Cricetulus griseus: one gene and its partner. Each later gene encodes a partner of the first gene's protein in a complex. Links are inferred from orthologs where the notes say so. Each region holds a gene or a part of one and is shown on either strand. Other genes may lie near its edges.

Region 1 (10,927 bases):
ACTTTTTAAAAGGTTTGTTCTATTTTATGTGTAAGTATTTTTGCCTGTATGTATGTATATCTGTACACCATGAGTGCGCCTGGTGCCCAGGAAGGCCAGAAGAGAGCAATAGATCCCCTTGAACCAGAGTTACAGAAGGTTGTATGCTGCTATGCAGGTGCTGGGAATTGAACCTAGGACTCTAGAAAAGCAGCCAGTGCTCTTACCCAGGAGTCTCTCTAGTCCTGGAAAAGGAGCTTAACTGGTTTCCTAAAAGGCTCTTGGAGACAGGACCAGGTTCTCAGGGCACGGTCAGAAAGCCACAGCTGTTTGCTGTGGTAGACAGGGACTTCCTCTCCTGTTCTATGTGGCAATGAGAGACTGAAGACACTTAACTTGGCCTTTGAGGGGCAGATGAACAGGAGATCTGAAGTTTCTTTCAGGGTGGCCCTAGGGGTGCTACAGGACCTCAGAGGTGGTGAGGATCATGAGCCAAGTTGCCTTGTGTGTCTGTGGAGGGTACAGGGATTTGAAGAGGAGTTGTAGACCCCTAACTACCTCCTTGGCTATCCCCCTGCAGATGTCACCTGCCCTGCAAGGGGATGAACCTACAGACAGCAACTGGATGGCTTGGGTAGGGACATTGTGCAGGCTCCACCCTCCTGTTGGTTGGTCTTCAACATTGCACTGGCTTCTTCCTGGCCCCACTTGAGAATCCTCAAGGCCCTGTGAACATGGCTGTGCCCAGTGAGGTCCTAACCAAGACTGCCCCACCCCCTCCACCCACACCCACCCCCTCCACCCACACCCACCTCAGCATCAGTCTGGATGAACAATTACCTAGAGATCATCTTTCTGGGGCTTAAGCGTGGATGGGAGCAGATGGGATGTGAGCTGGGGATTTGGGGATGGGGAAAGTATCTGCCCCCCTCCCCCCCCACATCCTGGCCCTTTAAAAGGCCCTTTCAGGTGTGGGGGACCTGACACAGGCCAGGAGGAAAGTGTGGGAGAGACACATGATGGATCAGAAAGAAGCAAGGGGCGAGGGGGCCTCAGACCTTCTGGACAAGGTAAGAGGGCTCTGCCTGACTCTACCACCAGCTCCTTGAGGTCTCAGCACCCGTGATTGGCAGGATCACTTCATTTGTAGGGCATCTAATTAGCAAGCAAGTCTCTGGGGTCCTCTGACCCAGTTACCATAACACATGGGGGGAGTAGTAGGAGGGTATAAGCATCCTCCCCCTGCCCAGGGCAAATGGATGGATTCTTAGTACTGTCTCCCCCAAGAGATGGTAGATGTTATGATTTAGGGGCACTTCTGAGCCCCATTTCCTTGGTAAGCGTCCCAACCCCCCAAACCATCACCAGTCTGGTCTTGATCTAGGACAGTGGTGGAATACTGTCTCTAGAGGCAGTACCTTGTAAAATTGTGCTGCAGGCTGGGGCCCCAGGCTGGGAGGTAGGGGGCAGGGGGTGGGGGTGGGGGGTAGGGATAGGTCAGGGAAGGAGACTCACGTTTCATTTGGAGAAACTCTACAGACCTGTGAGGACTATGGTGAGAGCAGAGATGGGAAGGCAGACACCGGTTCAGGTGGGAGCTGGAAGGAAGACAGGAACTGTACAGCACCCAACTAAACCAAGCATATCTGTCCCCAAGGCAGGTTCACCAGACCAAGAAGGCTTCTTCAACCTGCTGAGCCACGTACAGGGCGATCGGATGGAGGAGCAACGCTGTTCCTTGCAGACTGGTCCGGGCCAGACCCCAGAAAGCCGTAAGCTGGACACGCTGCAGGATTGGGGTGGGGGGTGCTTCCTGAGAAGCAAATGTGGCAGGGATGAAGGGGTCCTGAGATTTTGTGGGTCTTGGGAGTCAGGGTGGGGAGCACCATGTGACCTCCTTTGGAGTCTGTATCTATGGCCCACCTGTCTCTGCTCCAAGTAGAGGGTGGCTCTGCTCCAGAGATGGATAACCTCATGGATATGCTGGCAGACACCCAGGGCCGCCGCATGGATGATCAGCGGGTAACAGTCAATTCCCTGCCTGGCTTCCAACCTATCGGTCCCAAGGTAGGTGATGTCTCAATAACCTGTGGAGTGTAGCAGTGTAACTCTCTAGGTCTATGCCCCATCTCCAGCCAAAATAGGATGGGACCCTATCTCTACACGTCTTGAACTCTGGGAAAGGAAAGTGCAGGTGGATGTCAGAGGGGCTGAAGATCATACAGGGCTCATTCTGGTATCAGAGGCATGGCTGGAAGTCACAGCTCCTGCCACAACATCTGTGTATCTGAGAAAGGGCACAGGGAGAAAACAGTTTTCCTATGGTCACCCTGGTGGGAGGAGGGCATATGAGCTCACACACCCATATTAATGAAGAACATGGGTTGTTTGGAGTGTTTTGTTTTATTGTTTTTTGCAATAGGGTTTCATGTAGCTCCAGGTGACCTCAAATGCACTAGCCAATGATGACTTTAGACTTTCAGTTTTCCTACATGTACCTCCTGGGTGCTAGTGTTACAGGTGTGAGCCACCAGGAGCATCTGTGTGGTTGGGGATGGAATCTAGAACTTTGGTGAATTCTCTGCCAACTGAGCTACACCCTCAATCCTGTGTCTGGGTACACTAGCATACATGTTACAGGTTCATGTGCCCATATGCAGGTGGAGGCCAGAAGTCAACCTTGAAACTGTTCCTCAGGCGCTGCCATCACCTTGTTATTTGAGACAGGATCTTTTGCTGCCCTGGAACTCACCAAGTAGACCAGGATTCCCTAGGGATCCTCCTGACTACTCAAGCACTGACCGAGATTACAAGTGCATAAGGCCACATCTGGCTTTTCACTTTGGGGTTGGGGATTAAACTCAGGTCTCCCTGTGTACACAGCAAGGATTTTAATGACTGAGTTATCTCCTCAGCCCATTTATTTGTTTGTTTTTGAGTCAGGGTTATGAACCTGGAACTTTTTGTGTAGACCAGGTGGCTTTGACCCTGAGATAATTCTCCATCCTCTTCTTGAGTGCTGGGATTACAGGTGTAAACCAACAGCCCAGGTTCTGATCAAGACCCCACTGGGAGCTAACCATGTCATCAAATACCACCCTGATTGGCAGACAAAAAGAAATGTTGTGTGGAGGCACCTCTCTGGCTTGCACTTTCTTGGTCCCCTCCCTATTTCTGACCCTTCTTCATCTGCAGGATGGAATGCAGAAACGACCTGGGACCCTCAGCCCTCAACCCCTGCTCACCCCTCAGGACCCTGCTGCACTCAGCTTCCGCAGGAACAGCAGCCCCCAACCCCAGACACAAGCTCCTTGAGAGTTCTAGTCATCCTGGGCCCCAGACTGGCCCCTGAAAAGAACAATAAAACACTTGGCACTATTAACAAAGAATTGAGTGTGTGTTATTTCCTGGGTGGAGGGGCTGGGACTTGAGGACTTGGAGGTCTCAGGGGTTCTGCTGAGCAGCTTTAAGAAGTCTCTCTTCCCTCTGCTTCCGGATCTTCTGTTTGAATTCTTCTAGTTCCTGGCGCTGGAATGAAGAAAGGGGTGTGACAGAAAGGAAGGAGGGGCACACACCTCAGGGCCTGGACTTACTCCCACTACCCTCCCTTTGGCTTGAGAGTTCAGTATCCATACTGGGACCCCATGCCAATCATAACTACCATACCAGTGCATTCAATTCATCCTTCAGGGAGAAGGTAAAATATTAAATCATTTGTGTCCTCCCACTTTCTAAGACAGGGTCTTACATACCACAGGCTAGCCTTGAGCTCACTATGCAGCAGAAAATATCCAGAATTCCCAATTCTCCTGTAACCATCTCCTAAGTGCTGGAATGCTGGAATTACCTCCCCCTCTTCCAGGCTCCCTCTCTCTAGCCCTATACAGCCCAGGCTGGTTTCAATCTGGTAATCCTCCTACCCCTGCTTCCAAATGATCGCAGGCGTATACATCATGAACAGTAAGAAACGTGTGTGGAAACAAGGTCTCTAGCTCTGGATAGCCTGGAACTCCTATTCATTTTTCTGTTTCCAATTTCCTATTTGAGGCTGAGGGTGAAATGTATTCCAAGCCCCCTGGAAGAATGGGTTACTTACCTGACCCTCCTTCTCTCGTGGCCACAGCTCCCTCTGTGGGACAAAGTCACAGGTGAGAACACAAGCCAGAAGAATCCAGAGTCCCACATGCAGCGCAGGGTTGACTTCATGGGAGGCAGGTAATGGTCCCAAACACCAAGCCTCCTACCCTGCTTTCCCCATCCCCAGGAATGATCCAGCAAGCACTCTCCTGATACCCACCTTTCGCTGGATAACAGAGTCCTCAAACCACTCTGCCTGATTGGAGATCCAGAACATAACCACGGGGAAAGTGAGATAGAGTGACATCTGCAAAAGCAGAGATGGATAGACAGAGCCCAGAACTGTCACCACCCTGGTACAGGGAGATTGCAGGAGAGCCCGGAAGAAGATCTATCCTCCTACACAGGTCAGGATCCCGGCCTCAGCTCCTCCCCCGGAGCCCCAGAAATCCTACCAGGAGAACGGAAACCCGGCACCTTAAAGCCTGGGCTTCATGAGTCAGAAAGCTTTATTCGTAATAGTCCTGTCCTAAACACACACACACACACACACACACACACACACACACACACACACACACACACACACACACGGGAGGGGAGGGGGAGAGAGGCAGAGCAAGGGGGGGAGAGAGGCGTGCATAAAGGAGCGCGGTGGAGGACGGGGGAGGGGAGGCAACAGTTCAAGAGCTCCTACTACAAAGACACATCCTTCAGACGTTATTACCTCCCAACCTGATCGTCGAAACATTTCAAATAGAGGGGCCTCGTTTTTTCAATCATACTCTCCTACATCTAGGAGTAAGCCTATCTGAGGCCCATTATGAGCCCAGGGATCTCCTTCTGAAAATCCCGCTCTGTATCTGAAGCCTCCCTTCACCCTCACTGAGACGCTTCCTCGGGCCAAACCCAGACTCTCCATTCAAAGCCCCCACACCTAGCGCTCCTTCCGCGGGGGTTCCAACACACAGCTCAGATACTTTCTCCGTGGAACTCCCCACTCTGCACTTCTCTCACTTCCCACATCTATCCTCAAATTCAGAAAGAGCCTGGGTCCACACGTCCGACACACTCCTGGGCTCACTGACCCGAAACACCTCCAGCTTCACCCCCATCTCGCTTTTCCGGTTCTACGAAGCCACTTCCGCCCAAAGGCGATTCTCCAGCAATGCAAAATCTCATTGGTGCATCTCAAGAAGCAATACTGAAGCTGAGTGGCCATAACCTCTCGTTGGCTGCGTCATCTTCCGGCGCCCCCTCTCTGCTTCCGGTCACAGCCTTGACGATACGGGTCTGGTCGGAGGGGGCGGGCCTTCTGTGAATGACGCCATCAGAGCACGACTCTCGTCTGTACCTGGAGTGCCAGGAAGATGGTGGTGATGGCGCGAGTACCGCGTCCCGAGCGGCCGGATCTTGTTTTTGTAAGTCTGCAGCGAGGCCACGGGTGCTCCGCGAGGGAAGACCCGAAGCTAGTCCTTCCAGGGTCGGAATCTGACTCTCGGGCGTGTAGACCCAGACTGTGCTTGTCCAATCCATGGAGAGCCTAACGAGCCAAAGGCGACATGTCAAAACATTGGCCATGCCGGGATTAAAGAACCGGATCTTTCGTCGCCTGAGTGAGGGGCTGCTGTTGAGGTTAAGGCCTAGATGTCTCGGGCCGGGAGAAGTGAGGTCAAGAGGGGAATGGGATAGCAGGGGAACGGCATGGATGTTGATAGGCATAGTGGCAAGGTTCGAGTTGTGGCTTCTGGATGGCACCTTGATTTCTGGGGCTACAAGAACCTTGGAGTATGAAGAAAAGTCTAGTGATGTAGATAGCCCCTAGAATCCTAAAAAGGTGAAAATTTGGTGGCTGAAATAGAGGCCTCATATTTAAACCGCGTTCATAGTGGTCTGGGTTAAGGGCCATAACGGGGTTGTGTGTTTAACCAAGGGTCTCGTGCATGCAAAGCAAGCACTCTACAATTGATCTATATCCCACCACACACACACGCACGCACGCATGCATCCCACCTCCTGAGAATGTAAAACCTTTAGCTTGCAATGTCTGGGATAAAGTTGAGCTAAAGTACAGGTTAATGGGATCCTGGAGGGCCAGAAGTTTGATGGACTAGGTGGCTTAAGTAAAGATTTAGTCACCTGGGGCTGAGGAGGTGGCGCAGTTGGTAAAGTGCTTGCTATACAAGTGTAAGACCTCAGTTCAGAATCCTAACACCTACATAAAATGCTAGTGAGAGACCCTGTCTCAAAAATAAGGTGGAGAGCAATTGAAGAGGACCTCCAGCCTCTGCCAGCACCAGCTCCCACATGTGTGTACATGAATGTATACACAAACACACAAATTATTTTTGTTTGAGATAGGATCTCACTATGTAGCCCTGACTGGACTGGAACTTACTGTAGACCAGCCTGTCCTTGGACTCATAGAGATCCACCTGTACCTGCCTCCTAGAGGAAGCTGGAAGAAAAAAATTAATTAATTAAAAACATTAAAATTGGGCTGGAGAGATGGCTCAGAGGTTAAGAGCACTGGCTGCTCCTCCAGAGGTCCTGAGTTCAATTCCCAGCAACGACATGGTGGCTCACTACCATCTGTAATGAGATCTGGTGCCCTCTTCTGCATACAGGCCGAACACTGTATACATAATAAATAAAGCTTTAAAAAAAAAAAACATTAAAATTTTGAGCCCAGTGTAGTAGCACATACCTTTGATTCCATCACTTGGGAGGCAGAGGTAGGCAGATCTCTGTGAGTTTGAAGGCAGTGTAGTCTACATAGTGAGTTTCAGGACAGCCAGAGCAAAAAGTGAGACTCTGGCAGGTAGGGGTGTGTGTGTGTCTGTGTCTGTGTCTGTGTGTAAACCTTCGTTATCTGGGCCTGGTATAAAGATATGGTGACAGTGTGAGCATGGGGAACAAAGGCCTAATGTCTGGGAAGAAGTGTGTTGTAATTAATACAACCTGCTGTTCGTGGCAAAGGCTTGGCACCTGGACCTGGGCCCTGGTGTTATGCAAGTCTGGAGATTATGGGATTGCATGGGAGAGGATAATAGATGGTGAAAATGTCTAAAATTCACTGCATATGTGTATGAAATTGTCAAAGAATTTTTTAGAGTGTGGGGATTGTGATCAGGAAGTGGGCAGTAGAATTTACTGGCCACAGCTGATATCTCATTAACCACTAGTGGCTGAGAAGTCTGTGTGGACAGTTGAGTTCTGAGGGCCAGAGGTCTGAACTAACACTCTAACACAGTGGTTCTCAACCTTCTTAATGCTGTGACCCTTTAATACTTTTCTACATGTTTTGATGACCCCCAACCATAAAATTATTTTCATTGCTACTTCATAACTAGGTTTTTTGTTTGTTTGTTTGTTTGTTTGTTTTTTTTGCTGCTGTTATGAATCACAATATAAACATCTGTGTTTTCTGATGGTTTTACGCGACACCTGGAAAGCGTTCTTTGTCCCCTCAAAGGGGTTGCAACCCACAGGCTGAGAACCACTACTCTAGCATCTGAGTGACTGGTAATCCCATTTCAACAGAAGAAGAAACCATGCCTGGGACACTGCTATGTTGTGTTTCTTTATTTGTTAAAGTTTTGTTTTTGTTTTTTGTTTTTTGAGACAGGGTTTCTCTGTGTAGCTTTGGAGCCTATCCTGGCACTCGCTCTGGAGACCAGGCTGGCCTCTAACTCACAGAGATCCACCTGCCTCTGCCTCCCAAGTGCTGGGATTAAAGGCATACACCACCAATGCCTGGCTTTTTTTTTTTTTTTTTTAATCATGTTTATGTGAGCACATCTTTAATCCCATCACTTGGCGGGCAGAGCCAGGCAGATCTCTTGAGTTCAAGGCCAGCCTGGTCTACAGAGTGAGTTCCAGGACTGGCAGGACTGTTTCACAGGGAAACCTTGTTTCAAAAGAAGAAGAAAAAAAAGTGTGTGTGTGTGTGTGTGTGTGTGTGTGTGTGTGGTGTTGACAGAGGCTGGAGTTACAGGTGGTTCTGAGCTGTCTGATACGAGCGCAGGGAAGATGAGGATAAGTTCGAGTCCTCTGCAAGAGCTCTTAACTACTGACCCATGTCTCCAGCCCTCAGCCCTGTTTGTTTTTAAGTATAGTGTGTTTGTAATGTGTGACTGTGTATTGGCCAAAAAGAGAGGTTAGCTGTATTCCTTAGTTGCTCTCCATCTTACTTTTTGAGACAAAAGTCTTCTCACTGTACCTGAAGCTCACTGGCTGGCTAATGGGCTGCAGGGATCTCCCTGTGTGTGCTTGACCAGCACTGGGATTATAGATACACACTGCCATGCCTGGCGTTTACATGGGTGTTCTGAACCAGGTTATCATGCTCATGCCTATGGACTAGGTCATCCTTCCACTCCTGTTTGTTTTGTAATTTTAGCATGTTCGAGAGGTAAACCGTATGTGCCACTTGTGTGCAAGTGGAAAGTAGAAGACATTGATTCTCTCCTACCATGTGGATTGAACTCAGGTCCTCAGGCTTGGTGGCAGGTGCCTATACCCGCTGAGCTTTTCACCAACCTCCCATTTGTTTTGTTCTTTTGAACAAAAACAATTCTTTTGTTCTTTTGGTCTTTTTGCCTCTGAAGTGATGGGAGTATAAGCTTGCACCACTGCCTTTTGGAGGAGCATAGAATTGTAGTAGAAGCCTAGAGTTTGGCACTAAACCCTGTGTGGGGTGTGACTCCACTGAGACTAAGGATGGGCCTCTCTCCTCCCCTTCCCTGGCTCTGGCAGGAGGAAGAGGACCTTCCCTATGAGGAAGAAATCATGAGGAACCAGTTCTCCGTCAAATGCTGGCTTCGTTACATCGAGTTCAAACAGGGGGCCCCAAAACCACGGCTCAATCAGTTGTATGAGCGGGCACTCAAGCTGCTTCCCTGCAGGTACAAATGGCCTTCTCTGTGCTACCCTGCTCACCAGCCCCCACCCCTCCATATACAGTCACACACAAGTAGTAATGTGTCCCAGATGATCACTGTGTATTCCCTTATATATCCTGTATATTCACAACCCCTGCTGGGTTACACCTTTCCTCATTCCCAGTATTTCCCTTCCTTGTAAGAACTCTCACCCCTCCTCAGTCCCTTTTTGTACCACAGTTGCCTCTGGAGCAAGGAAAGGGTTCTAGAGTTCCATAAGCCATATCTGTCTTCACTGCTCTCTAGCTACAAACTCTGGTACCGCTATCTGAAGGCACGCCGGGCACAGGTGAAGCATCGCTGCGTGACTGACCCTGCCTATGAAGATGTCAACAACTGCCACGAGAGGGCCTTTGTGTTCATGCACAAGGTGGGGAGCTGGGGAAGGGGTATGCAGTGGGAACTATTTTCCCAGGGAGATGTAAACAGGTGTCTACCCCTTCCTTATAGTGCTCCAGCAAAATAAAGTATAGGTCCACCAAAATGCTCCACCTACTTGAGGAACTAACGAGTTGGCTTATTTACAGAGCCTGAGTGAGGGGTAATGAGACCTATTGCCTCCCTGCTGCCCTTATGTCCTAGATGTGGATGGTAAGCAAGCCATGGAGCCTGTGGCTCAGACATGCCTCACCCATCACTTTCCATTATTTCCAGATGCCACGTCTGTGGCTAGACTACTGCCAGTTCCTCATGGACCAGGGACGAGTAACACACACCCGCCGCACCTTTGATCGCGCCCTCCGGGCACTACCCATCACACAGCACTCTCGCATCTGGCCCCTGTATCTTCGATTCCTGCGCTCCCACCCACTGCCTGAGACTGCTGTGAGAGGCTACCGTCGCTTCCTCAAGGTAAGCACCATTGAATAGTCCTGTTCCCAGGTCGGCTTCCAAACCTTGACTCACTGGGATAAGGGCCCTCATGCAACAGATAGGCTGCAGGAAGAGGCTCCTATGGTGTGTGGGTGTGTTTTGCATACCCATGCATGTAGAGGCCCAAACTTGACACTGGATGTCTTCCTCAATTACTGTCCACTTCATTGAGGTGGGATTGCTTACTGAACCCAGAGCATACCAGCCAGAACCAGATTTGGCTAGTTCTAGCTAGCCCCAGCAATCCCCTCTCTCTGCCCCTCCAGTGCTACCATGCTAGCCAGTGTTTATGTGGGTTCTAAGGATGCAAGCTCCAGTCCTCACACTTGCAAGGCAAACGCTTTGTACTGATCCTTCTCCCAAGCCCTGTGGTTTATTATCTTTAGTTTCTAAGTAGTTAGCTTTTGCCTTACACCTTTTCCACAATCTGTGTTGACTTACAGTGATGGAGACTCACTCTCTCCATTCCTCTTCCCAGAATTCTTGTAGTCTGGTAGCCCCACCTACACTTCCTGCCTGGCTACATCCTGCCTGTCCATTGGCCAAAACAGCTTTATTCATCAACCAATAAGAGAAACATATTCATGGCATACAGAAGGACATCCCCAATCAGAGAGGTGTCAAGGCTAAAGGAATGGCCAAGGCTGGACCACTCAGGTCTGAGGCTGAAGGCCCAGGCTATATTACTGCCTCAGTTCCTCTTCCTGTGGCTGTGACAAAACACCCTGAAACAATCTTACAGGGAGAGGGTTTGTTTTGGCTCATGGTTCAGATGTACATCGAACAGAAGCTAGCCACATCACATCCAAGATTTAAAAACAGCTATGCATGCATGCTTGTGTGCTGGTCACTCTCTGTACATTATACAGGATCCCTGCCTGGAAATCCATAAGTAACATGAGTGTTCTTGTCTAAATTAACATAGTCCAGATAATCTCACACATGCTGTAAGGCCCAGCTCTGAGTGATTCTGGATTCTGTCAGATTGACAGTTAGCACTCACTATCATAAGAACTATAGCCAGGCTAGACCCAGAGGGGCCAAGGCCAGACCAG
Region 2 (10,196 bases), on another chromosome or scaffold:
GGACAGTGAGATGGCTCAGCTGGTAAAGACACTTGCCTTGCAAAGCTAGAGACATGAGTCAGTGGAAGGAGAAAACCAACTCCATCAAATTGTCTTCTGGCTTCCAGATACATGTATGTGCCGCCCTATGCGCACCTGTGCGTTAGCAGACGCACAGACACAAAAGTTACCTCAGGAAAGTCTAAATGCTCTATCCAAAACAGGTGAGGGTATGGATCATTGGTGGAACATTTGCCTAGCAATGGGCTACGGCTCCAGCACCATAATAACTAAAGTAAAGCCTGGTGTGATGGTTTACACCGTTAGCCCTACCAGATATAAGCTAGCCTGGTCTACATAGTGAGTTCCAGGACAGTCAGGGGTACTTATGGATCCTGTCTCTAAATAAATAAATGAAATGAAACTAATTAAACTTCTGTTTGAGGTAGCGTGGAGATGCATAACTGAAACTGAGGTACTCTAACAAGCAAACAAACGTGGTCTTACTATTTTCCTCTGTTAATGAAAACCTGTAATGTAAATATTATTTAATTTAGAACAGGAACATAGCAAATAGTATTCCTCAAGGGTCAGACAGTAAAATATCGTAGGCTTTGGGTGGAACAGGTCTCTTCCCCTTGTAACATGAAAGCAGCCAGAGAATAAAGAAACGAATGGTGCTCTACCTAATAAAACTTCGTGATACTGAAATTTTAATTTCATAGATTTTTTCCATCGGTTATGAAATACTGTCTTGCTCTTCCCCGCCCCTTCAAAATGTAAAAACCATTGTTAGCTTCCGAATTGGCCAAATTGGCTGGGCAGGCCGGTCGGTAGTGTGTTGGTGGAGGGGCATAACTGCCGATAATTCCCCGTTAATCGAACCAAGGTTTGTTTCCTCCACACCGCCAGCACCGGGAGCATCCGAACCTCACTCCCCCGTGGGTACCGGACTCCAGCGGAAGACGGGAAGGGGCGGAGCCTGCGGTGGCGGCGCACAAGAGACCCGCCAGGACCTAAGGGGAGGGGCCACGGCAAGGGGGCGTACCGAGCGACGGCTTCCGGCGGAAACGGGAGTGAGCAAGATGGCTACCACCAAGCGTGTGCTGTACGTGGGTGAGCAGGCTTGGGAGCTAGGCGGAGTCTGGGGGATGTGAGGAAGGCGGCGAGCAGTCCGGCTCTGTGGAGGGCTTGCTGGGCTGAGAGTGTGAGCCGAGATGGGAAGAACCATTCCGGCGACCTTGCTAGTCCACTAAGCGCACAGGAACCCCGACCAGTGACAGGAGTTATGGGCTTCCAAATCCTCCCGCCCATTCTTTTTATTTAGTGCGGAAATGTCTGGGTCTCTGCCCTAAAGGAAGGAGTTACCAGACTAGTCAGGAGAAAGTGGGAATTAGCCTAAACACCACAGTTTGATAAGCGCTGTAGTAGGGGCGAACGATGACGACAGGGACTTGGGTGCGTGCAAACTTTCTCTTGCCGGGAACGCAGAAGTTGAGCAGGAGTTAGGCAAAAGTGTTAGCTGCACGGGAGCCGAAGCCCGAAGGTGTAAAATAGCCTGATGCCTGGGGGCGGGTAGGTTATTATTTTTTTTTTCGAGAAACCCAGGGGAACTTGAGTGGGAGCTAGTAAGGCTCAGGTGATAACCTGTGTACGCTGCTATTTAAGGAGCTCTCAGGTCTTCTTGAGGACCGTGACGTGTAAGACTTTGAAGTCTAAGAGAACCGATGGGTTTGTTTCCGTTTTCACAAAATATTCCTACTGGTTTTGGGAGGGGGTTTGACGCAGGGAATGGAGGCCCCCTGGTGACTTGTGAAGCTGTTGTGGAACCTTGGAGATAGATTCAGATCTGTTTGAAAAAAGGTTGGAGAAAGGAACATAGCGTGGGTGGGCAATAGAAAGAGAGGTGTTTGTGTAGATGAAGGACTGGATGGAACGATCCCTCTGTCCTGGCTTGCCCATGGGCTGCAGAGATTTTTGAGTGCGCACAGGGGTGCAGAATGTCCTTGGCTATTTGCAGGTGGGCTGGCAGAAGAGGTGGACGACAAGGTTCTTCATGCTGCTTTTATCCCTTTTGGAGACATCACAGATATTCAGATTCCTCTGGATTATGAAACAGGTGGGTCCTTTGGGTGTCTCTAATATTCATTACCCTCCTATAGGAAAAGAATTTTAAAAGATTAAAGTCACATGGGCAGTGGTGGCACATGTCTTTAATTCCAGCACTCAGGAGGCAGAGGCAGGTGGATCTCTGTGAGTTCCAGGACAGCTAGGGTTACACAGAAAAACATCATCTTGAAAAACCACCTAAACAAACAAGCAAGCAAACAAACAAAAAAAGTCACATTCCAACTCTAAATTTGCATTCTTAGACTGAAGTTATAGCACAGTAGAGCTCTTGTCCAACATGTGAGGCCATGGTTCAGTTCCTTGAGCGCACACACACACACACACACACACACACACACACACACACACGGGGGGGGGGTAGCATTAAATTCTCTGAGTCTGAGTCTAGGGAATCTTTTGCCGGTAGTTGCTGGGCATGGTAGCACATGCCTGTAATCCCAGCATTTCAGAGGCAGGAGGATAGAGTTTAAGGTCAGTCTAGGCTTCATAGTGAGACACTGTCTGCAAAAATACATGCAAAGAAAAAGTTCTGTTTACTTTTTGGGGGTTATGGGTGGAAGATTGAGATAGGGTTTCTCTGTGTAGCTCTAGCTGTCCTGGAACTCACTCTGTAGACCAGGCTGGCCTTGAACTCACAGATCTGCCTGCCTCTGCCTCATGAGTACTAGGTTTATAGACTGCACCATCACCACTGGCTGACTTTCTATTGGACTGTGTAACTAAGTTGACTTTATTGTGTGTGGGCTTTCCACTTAGATCAGAATTTGTGTGGGGGTAAAGGCTGAGTATCCTTACCAGATTTTAGGATTTATGTGTAGTTGTTGATAAAACTGTATATTTGGTTGGTGGCTTTTTCCTGTTTTAGTTTTGTTTTGTTTCTGCTTCAAAACAGTCTCACTGTTTTGTCCAGGCTGGCCTCTTTAATTGGTAATCATTCTGCCTTAGTTTCCCAAGTAGTTGACATTACAGCTATATACTCTGGCATCTACATTGAAATTGTATATTTGGATAAATAGTTGATAAGGCTAAATAACTTATCTTGCTAGTTGCACTGCATGAAAGGTTAAGGTTTATGTTTGACTTTCATAGATGAATAGAATGCCTTTTAAAATATTTTCCCCCTTTATTTCTGTGTGGTACAGCAGGCAGAGGACAGTCCATAGGAATTGGTTCTTCTACCATGTGGATCCTGGGATTGAACTCAGGTTATCAGACTTGATGGCAAGCTCCTTTACCCACTGAGCCATCTCACCAGCCCTCGGTGCTCATTGTAAAGATTTCAGAGCCAGGCTGTAGTGACACACGCCTTTAATCTCAGCACTCAGGAGGCAGAGGCAGGTAGATCTCTTAAGAGTTCAAAGCCAGCCTGGTCTACAAAGTGAGTTCCAGGACAGCAAAGGCTACACAGAGAAACCCTGTCTCAAGAAAAACAAAAAACAAAACAAACAAAAATCAGTTCAGGGCTGGAGGGATGGCTCAGTGATAAGAACACTGGCTGTTCTTCCAGAGGACCCAGATTCAAGATTAAATTTCCAGCACTCATATTGTGGCTCCCAATCATCTGTAACTCCAGTCCAAGGGGGGATCCAGTCAGGTACTTTATCCATAGAAATGTTTATTATTGCTTTAAATATTCCTTAATAGGGATTAAAGAATGAGATTCTGTCTTTCTAAATAGTGAATGGGTAGGATTTCTGGTGTCTGGACATGGCATGTGACCGATTTCTTTGCAACTGTTCTCTTTTCTTCCATTGCCTCACATGGTAATTACTTATATTGTGCTTTTTCCTTTTTGCAGAAAAGCACCGAGGATTTGCTTTTGTTGAATTTGAGTTGGCAGAGGTGAGACTTCTGTACTGCCATTGGTTAGTCTTTGGTTGTTATAGAGCAGTGGTTCTCAACTGTGGTTGTGACCCCTTTGGGGATGCATATCAGATGTTTATATTATGATTCATATCAGTAGCAAAATTATAATTATGAAGTATCAACGAAATAATTTTATGGTTGGGGGTCACCACAACATGAGGAACTGTATTAAGGGTGCATCGTTAGGGAGGTTGAGAACCACTGCCGTGGAGGAAGCTATTTCCCATTTACTTAAGTTTTGAGTCTTAGGCTGATGCTTTTGGAAGTGCTGTTTGAAGGAAAGCCTCTTATCAGACTGTGATCTGTTGGTAACAGCTCAGACTGACTGTCAGACCCTGTCATGCTCTGCAAAGCTCTTACAGCTCTGTTCATAGAACGTTCTTGCCTGGCTATGCTGGTGTTTATCTCTTGTGCCTTCAGCTAGAAGCAGATTATGCCACTACAAGCTCGAAAATTGCCCAAGAAGTGTTGTTAGTTTCACACACAAACTAGGCAGGAAGTACAGAGATGACTTTTTCCAGTTTATTTTGCTGCCTGTTGTGCATTTAGACATGCAAGAAACATTCAGATACAAGCCTAAACTTACACCTTGCATTTCCTTGGCAGGATGCTGCAGCAGCTATCGACAACATGGTATGGCTGGGATCCCTCATTCTAACTGAAGTTGCCTTTGCTGCTACAGGGGTCCTTGTTCAAATACTGGTGGTGTTCTGAATCTCTGAAGTGTCACGATTGGGTGGGGAGGTAAAAGTTGCCATCAAATAAAGCTATTCACTGTGAACTGATTGCTGGTAAAATTAGTTCGTGCTCGGACACCTCTCCACTTAGCAGTGTACTTCCTGCTCATCCTTCTTGGCTGGTCTCTCACTTGCAACCCCACATGATGGTGAATGGTGAACCCAGTGCCAACTGATTGCTCACTGAAACTGCATATTTGCAAAAAGGGAAGGGTTTCATAAAATGTTAGACTAGTTAACAATTGAGAAGAAAAATTCAGTAAGAGTAACTGAAGGCTGTGCTACTGATGCAGACGACTAGAACAGCCTGGAAAAGTCCTTGAAAATGATGACACTCTTAAGATTTGTGGCTGGCCTAAGACACTTACGTGTCATTTCATGTCAGATATGAAGTGCAAAGTTATCGTATCCTGTTGCTAGAATTTTCTGAAAAAAATCTTTAAAACTAATCATCTCAGCCAGGCGGTGGCAGAGGCAGGCAGATCTCTGTAAGTTTGAGGTCAGTCTGGTCTACAGAGTGAGTTCCAGGGCAGCCAGGGCTGTTAAACAGAAACCCTGTCTCAAAAAACAAAGCCGTTTGCAGCGGCTCCAGGGGTAAAGTTTCCTGTAATTTCCTTCTTTGGTACTGTCTGTGATGAGGGCATAGCTTTTGTTGCCAAGGGATCTGGATTTAAAAAAGAGACGGATCAGATCTCAGAAGTACATGAAAAGCTGCTGGAGATTTTTAATCTGACAGTTTAAGCAACTGGATTTACAATCATTTCAGAATGAATCTGAACTCTTTGGACGGACAATTCGTGTCAATTTGGCCAAACCAATGAGAATTAAAGAGGGCTCTTCCAGACCAGGTGAGTGGGGCGCCTCATGGAGTACTTGCCAGGTCCTATGGCTTGGCCTCCTTTATGTGTATTCTCAGTGCTGCTTCTGGTTTAACAGAAGTGGAGGGGACAAGAGGGTGGTTCACATTGGCCAAGGGAATGAGCTACCTGTATCGACGAACAGCCACAAAGCCAAAGTAATTGTTCCTCTTGAGAACCCTGCCTGGTCTGTTTTTTCTTTCTGGTTTTTTGAGACAGACTTTGGAGGCTGTCCTAGAACTAGCTGTTGTAGACCAGGCTGGTCTGGAACTCACAGAGATCCGCCTGCCTCTGCCTTCCAAGTTCTGGGAATAAAGGCGTGTGCCACCACCCCCCAGCCCCTGCCTGGTCTCTTATCACCCAGTTTTCTTGGTACTCCATTCCTGGGAAAGGCCTGAAGCCAGCATAGCCTGTCTTTGCCTTTGGCACAGCTTTTTCCCTTAGTTCTGCTAAGTGCTGGACCTCCGGGGAGTCCTAGTGGGAGCATGGTCTTGAACAGTTTCAAAGGGAACTTCTGGCCAAGAAGACCACAGAGATGACCAAAGCATCTGCCTGGCAGGTAAGGGACAGTCTGATTTCTTCATGTGTGTGTCTTTTTCCTTCTAGTTTGGTCAGATGATGACTGGTTGAAGAAGTTTTCTGGGAAGACTCTAGAAGAGAATAAAGAAGAAGAAGGGCCCGAACCTCCCAAAGCAGAAACCCAAGAGGTGAGAGGGAAGGTGGTGCCTCTCCCAGAATACAGACTTTGCTTTCCATCGTTATGGGCACTTGCAGATGCATGTATTTACAAAAGTGCAGAGTGAGTGAGGATCGTATCTGTGCTCCTCCACACCAGTCAGGCAGCCCCCCTGTGTTGAGGTCCTTGGTGCCTTGCTCTGTCCTATTCTTGGCTGCATATAGAAGTGATAGGGCAGGTAGTGTACTTCCCTTCCCTAGTATGTGGTTTCTGGGTTTGCCTAAGATAGTTCTGGCTCTCAGCACACTCACTTCCTCTGTGTACCCTGTGAGGTTGACATTCTTCTATGCTTTGTTCATGGCACATGGCTTTTCTGTCCTTTTTCAGCTGAAACAGTACCAGTCACTCTTGGCTTCTGCAGACCTCTTGTGTAAGGATAACTCTTTCTGCCAGGCCGCCCGAACTGCCCCCCCCACATGGGTGCCCAAAATAACACACAGAGACTTATATTAGGTACAATGCTGCTGGCCAATGACTAGTATTTCTTACTTGCTAGCTCAGTCTTAGTTATCAACCATAACTACTAATCTATATATTTTTTAAGAACTTATCTTATTGGACACCAGCGGCAGGCATCTTCTCTTGCCAGGATCACATGGTGGCTCCACAGAGAAGAGAGGAGGAGGAAGAGAGTAATTTCCTGCTTGTTCCTGCTTATATTCTGAGTTGCCTGCTATGTCACTTCCTTCCTGTATCACAAGACTTCTCTTTACTACATTTCCCAGAATCCACCTTGACTTCTAGTCCCACCTGTCTTGCTTCCCTATTGGCCAACAGTGTTTTATTTATCAACCAATAAGACAAACATACACACAGAAGGACCTCCTCCATCACTCCAAAGATTACTTGTGCATCTACTTAGGAGCACTAGCATTTATATTTTTCTTGTTCTTTTTTCCCTTTTTTTTGAGACAGGGTTTCTTCATGTAGCCTTGACAACCCTGGAATGCCTGCTCTGTAGATCAGGCTGGCCTAGAACTCACAGAGATCCACCTGCCTCCACTAGGATTAATGGTGTGCATCACCATTGCCCAGCCACTAGCATTTCTGACTAGTATTTTTTTTCCTGCACCTAGGGAGAGCCCACTACAAAAAAAGCACGGTCAAATCCTCAGGTGTACATGGACATCAAGATTGGGAACAAGCCAGCTGGCCGCATCCAAATGCTCCTACGATCTGATGTTGTACCCATGACAGCAGGTAATCAGATTCTCTATGGTCAGATTGGCAGAAAACTGGTTGCTGAGCAGTCTTCCCAAGGTTCTCACTGCCTCTGCTCTTATTCCCCTGGCGTTGTTTCTAACGTAAATAAATGAATTTGTGGCATCTGAGGTCTTGGGATCTAGAAACAGATCAGAGCTGACATTGAAGCTTCATAATGCTGTTTTACTATTTTTTAATAATAGAGAGGTTTTTTTAAAATAACACAAGTAATATATTATTGCAAATACATTGCGAATAATATATTCATTGTTTAAAAGAAAGTATCACACACACATATTCTAACAATATTACATCCAGCTCTATGCCCTAGAAGTAACTGGTACCAATTTCTAGTTTATTAAAATATTGACTTATTTTTTAATATAAGTTTTACTATATATACATATAACTTAAGTTATCACAAAAGTTGGTTTGTAAAATCATTAGTTGCTTTATAATAATAGGGAGCTAGTTTCATTTCTTAGCTAATTATTTTGGTTTTGACTTCCACATTAGAAGATAATAGATATATATTTACCCCTCCCTTTTGTGTGTGTGTGTGTGTGTGTGTGTGTGTGTGTGTGTGTGTGTGTGTGTGTGTGTGTGTTTTCAGTTTAAGCCTTTCTTTTGATTTACTGCCCCTGAAAAGGAATTAGCTGTTTCCCCCTTCCACACCTCCTTATCTGTCTTGGTAGTTACTATAAGTTTGGTTAGGCAGCTCACAGATACCTGTCACCCTAGCTCCAAGGAATCTGATGCCTCTTCTTGCACCCACTTTCACATGTACATACTAGCATACAGACACATTACATGAACAGGATTTTTAAAAAAGAAATCTCAGAAAAAATTAGCGTTGCCGGGTGTGGTGGCATACCCCTTTATTCCCAGCATTTGGGAGGCAGATCTCTTGAGTTCCAGGCCAGCCTGGACTACATAGAAGGGTTCCAGACTAGCCAGAGCTACATAGTGAGACCTTGTATCAAAAACAAATTATTGTGTATGTGCATGTGTGTGACACATATGGAGGTTAGAAGACAACCTTTAAGAGTTCCAGGAAAGACATGAACAAATGTCTACTCAACAAAGAAAAAAAAATACCATAAAGTTCAGCTTGGTGAGCCAGTGACTTTATGGTTCTTACAGGAGTATGAGTAAGTAGTTACTTACAGGAACAGAAATTGACCCAAAGTAAGCTGCATTACCAAAGGCTCATAGTGGCTTGTAAAAGCTAGGAACCTGGTGCTAACTGTACAGCTTCCAGCCGATTGACAGATTAGAGAGTGGTTTTCCAGGCTACTCTGGTGGTTTGAGACTACAGGGAGCTCCATTTGTCTGACAGTGTCTCTCAGCAGTTCTTCCTGCTTAGGGAAGAAAGGATCCCATTGAATGTGGTCAGTTTCAGGGACTTCCTGAATTGACAAGGAGCTTGAAGGATAAACATCCTGAGTTTTTTTGGAACACCCTAAGTCTTAACAAGCTTTCCTCCAGCCTGGGAAGCTTTATCTTGGAGGAAAGTACCACTTAACAGTCAATTCTGTCCTTTCACTTTCACCTGGATTCTGTGGTTCAAACTTGGGTCTCTAGGCTTGCACAGTAAGTGCCTGCCTTTACTTACTGAGCTGTCCGACTGGCCCTGGTTTTTTCTTTTTTTCTCTCCTTTTTTTTTTTTTTTTTTTTTTTTTTAAAAAAATCACTTTCAGGGCTGGAGAGATGGCTCAGGGGTTAAGAGCACTGCCTGTTCTTCCAGAGGTCCTGAGTTCAATTCCCAGCAACCATACGGTGGCTCACAACCATCTATAATGTAGTCTGGTGCCCTCTTCTGGCCTACAGGGATACATACATACATACATAATAAATAAACAAATCTCAAAAAAAAAATTACTTCATGAGACTGGAGAGGTGGCTCAGCAGTTACAAACACTGGCTGCTCTTCCTAAGGTCATGAGTTCAATTCCTAGCACCCACCTGGCTCAAGGCCATCTATGATGGGATCTGATGCCCTCTTCTGGCATGCAGGTATATATGCAGATAGAGCACCGTGTGCATAAAATAAATCTTAAAAAAAAAAAAAATCAATCAGGCTGGAAAGATAGCTCGGTGGTTAAGAGCACTGTCTGCTCTTCCAGAGGACCCAGATTCAATTGCCAGCACCTACATGACAGCTCACAACTATCCATAACTCCTCCTACTCCAGGGTATCTGACACCGTCACACAGACATACATGCAGGCAAAATGCCAATGTACATAAAATACAAATAAATTATTGAAAAAAATCATTTCTTTATCTATTTAGTATGGTTTGGGGATACAGCAGAGGTAGAATGCACATATTCTGTCCTATTTAATCGGAGTGGCATGTGTTATGCAGTAGTTCAGTATTGTAAAGGCTTATAAGCAACATAAGATGAGAATACAGTTAGCCCTCTCCATCCGTGGGATCCACATCTGTGAATTTAGTGAACCACAGCAGAAATACGTGATGGGCCAGTGAGATGGCTCAGCAGGTTAAAGTGTCTGCTACCAAGTCTGGTAACCTGAGTTCAAGCCCTATAAGTTGTCCTCAGACCTATACACACATGTACAATAGATATACAATAAATGAATGCAATAAAGAATTTTAAATATATTTGAGGGGAACATTGCATTTCTACTAAGCATGCTTGTATTGCCCCCTTTATATATCCTAG

What was found.
Region 2: Xab2 (region 1) and Ppie share a complex: the UniProt entries of both Homo sapiens proteins name them as parts of the XAB2 complex. The link is inferred for Cricetulus griseus from reciprocal best matches to the Homo sapiens genes XAB2 and PPIE.

The regions. Positions count from the first base shown.
Region 1 is NC_048597.1:88,507,566-88,518,492, reverse strand, and holds the start of Xab2 (pre-mRNA-splicing factor SYF1), read left to right. Parts: upstream 1-5,339; 5' UTR 5,340-5,426; coding exon 5,427-5,477; intron 5,478-8,814; coding exon 8,815-8,963; intron 8,964-9,245; coding exon 9,246-9,369; intron 9,370-9,653; coding exon 9,654-9,851; intron 9,852-10,927. Other genes in the region: Pcp2 (Purkinje cell protein 2 homolog), read left to right, coding at 999-1,049, 1,637-1,751, 1,922-2,046, 3,175-3,294; protein PET100 homolog, mitochondrial, read right to left, coding at 3,424-3,507, 4,076-4,108, 4,277-4,363, 5,145-5,171. UniProt on the Homo sapiens protein: Involved in pre-mRNA splicing as component of the spliceosome. Involved in transcription-coupled repair (TCR), transcription and pre-mRNA splicing.
Region 2 is NC_048595.1:29,854,944-29,865,139, forward strand, and holds the start of Ppie (peptidyl-prolyl cis-trans isomerase E), read left to right. Parts: upstream 1-994; 5' UTR 995-1,064; coding exon 1,065-1,095; intron 1,096-1,999; coding exon 2,000-2,098; intron 2,099-3,907; coding exon 3,908-3,951; intron 3,952-4,581; coding exon 4,582-4,608; intron 4,609-5,478; coding exon 5,479-5,560; intron 5,561-6,175; coding exon 6,176-6,276; intron 6,277-7,381; coding exon 7,382-7,505; intron 7,506-10,196. UniProt on the Homo sapiens protein: Involved in pre-mRNA splicing as component of the spliceosome. Combines RNA-binding and PPIase activities.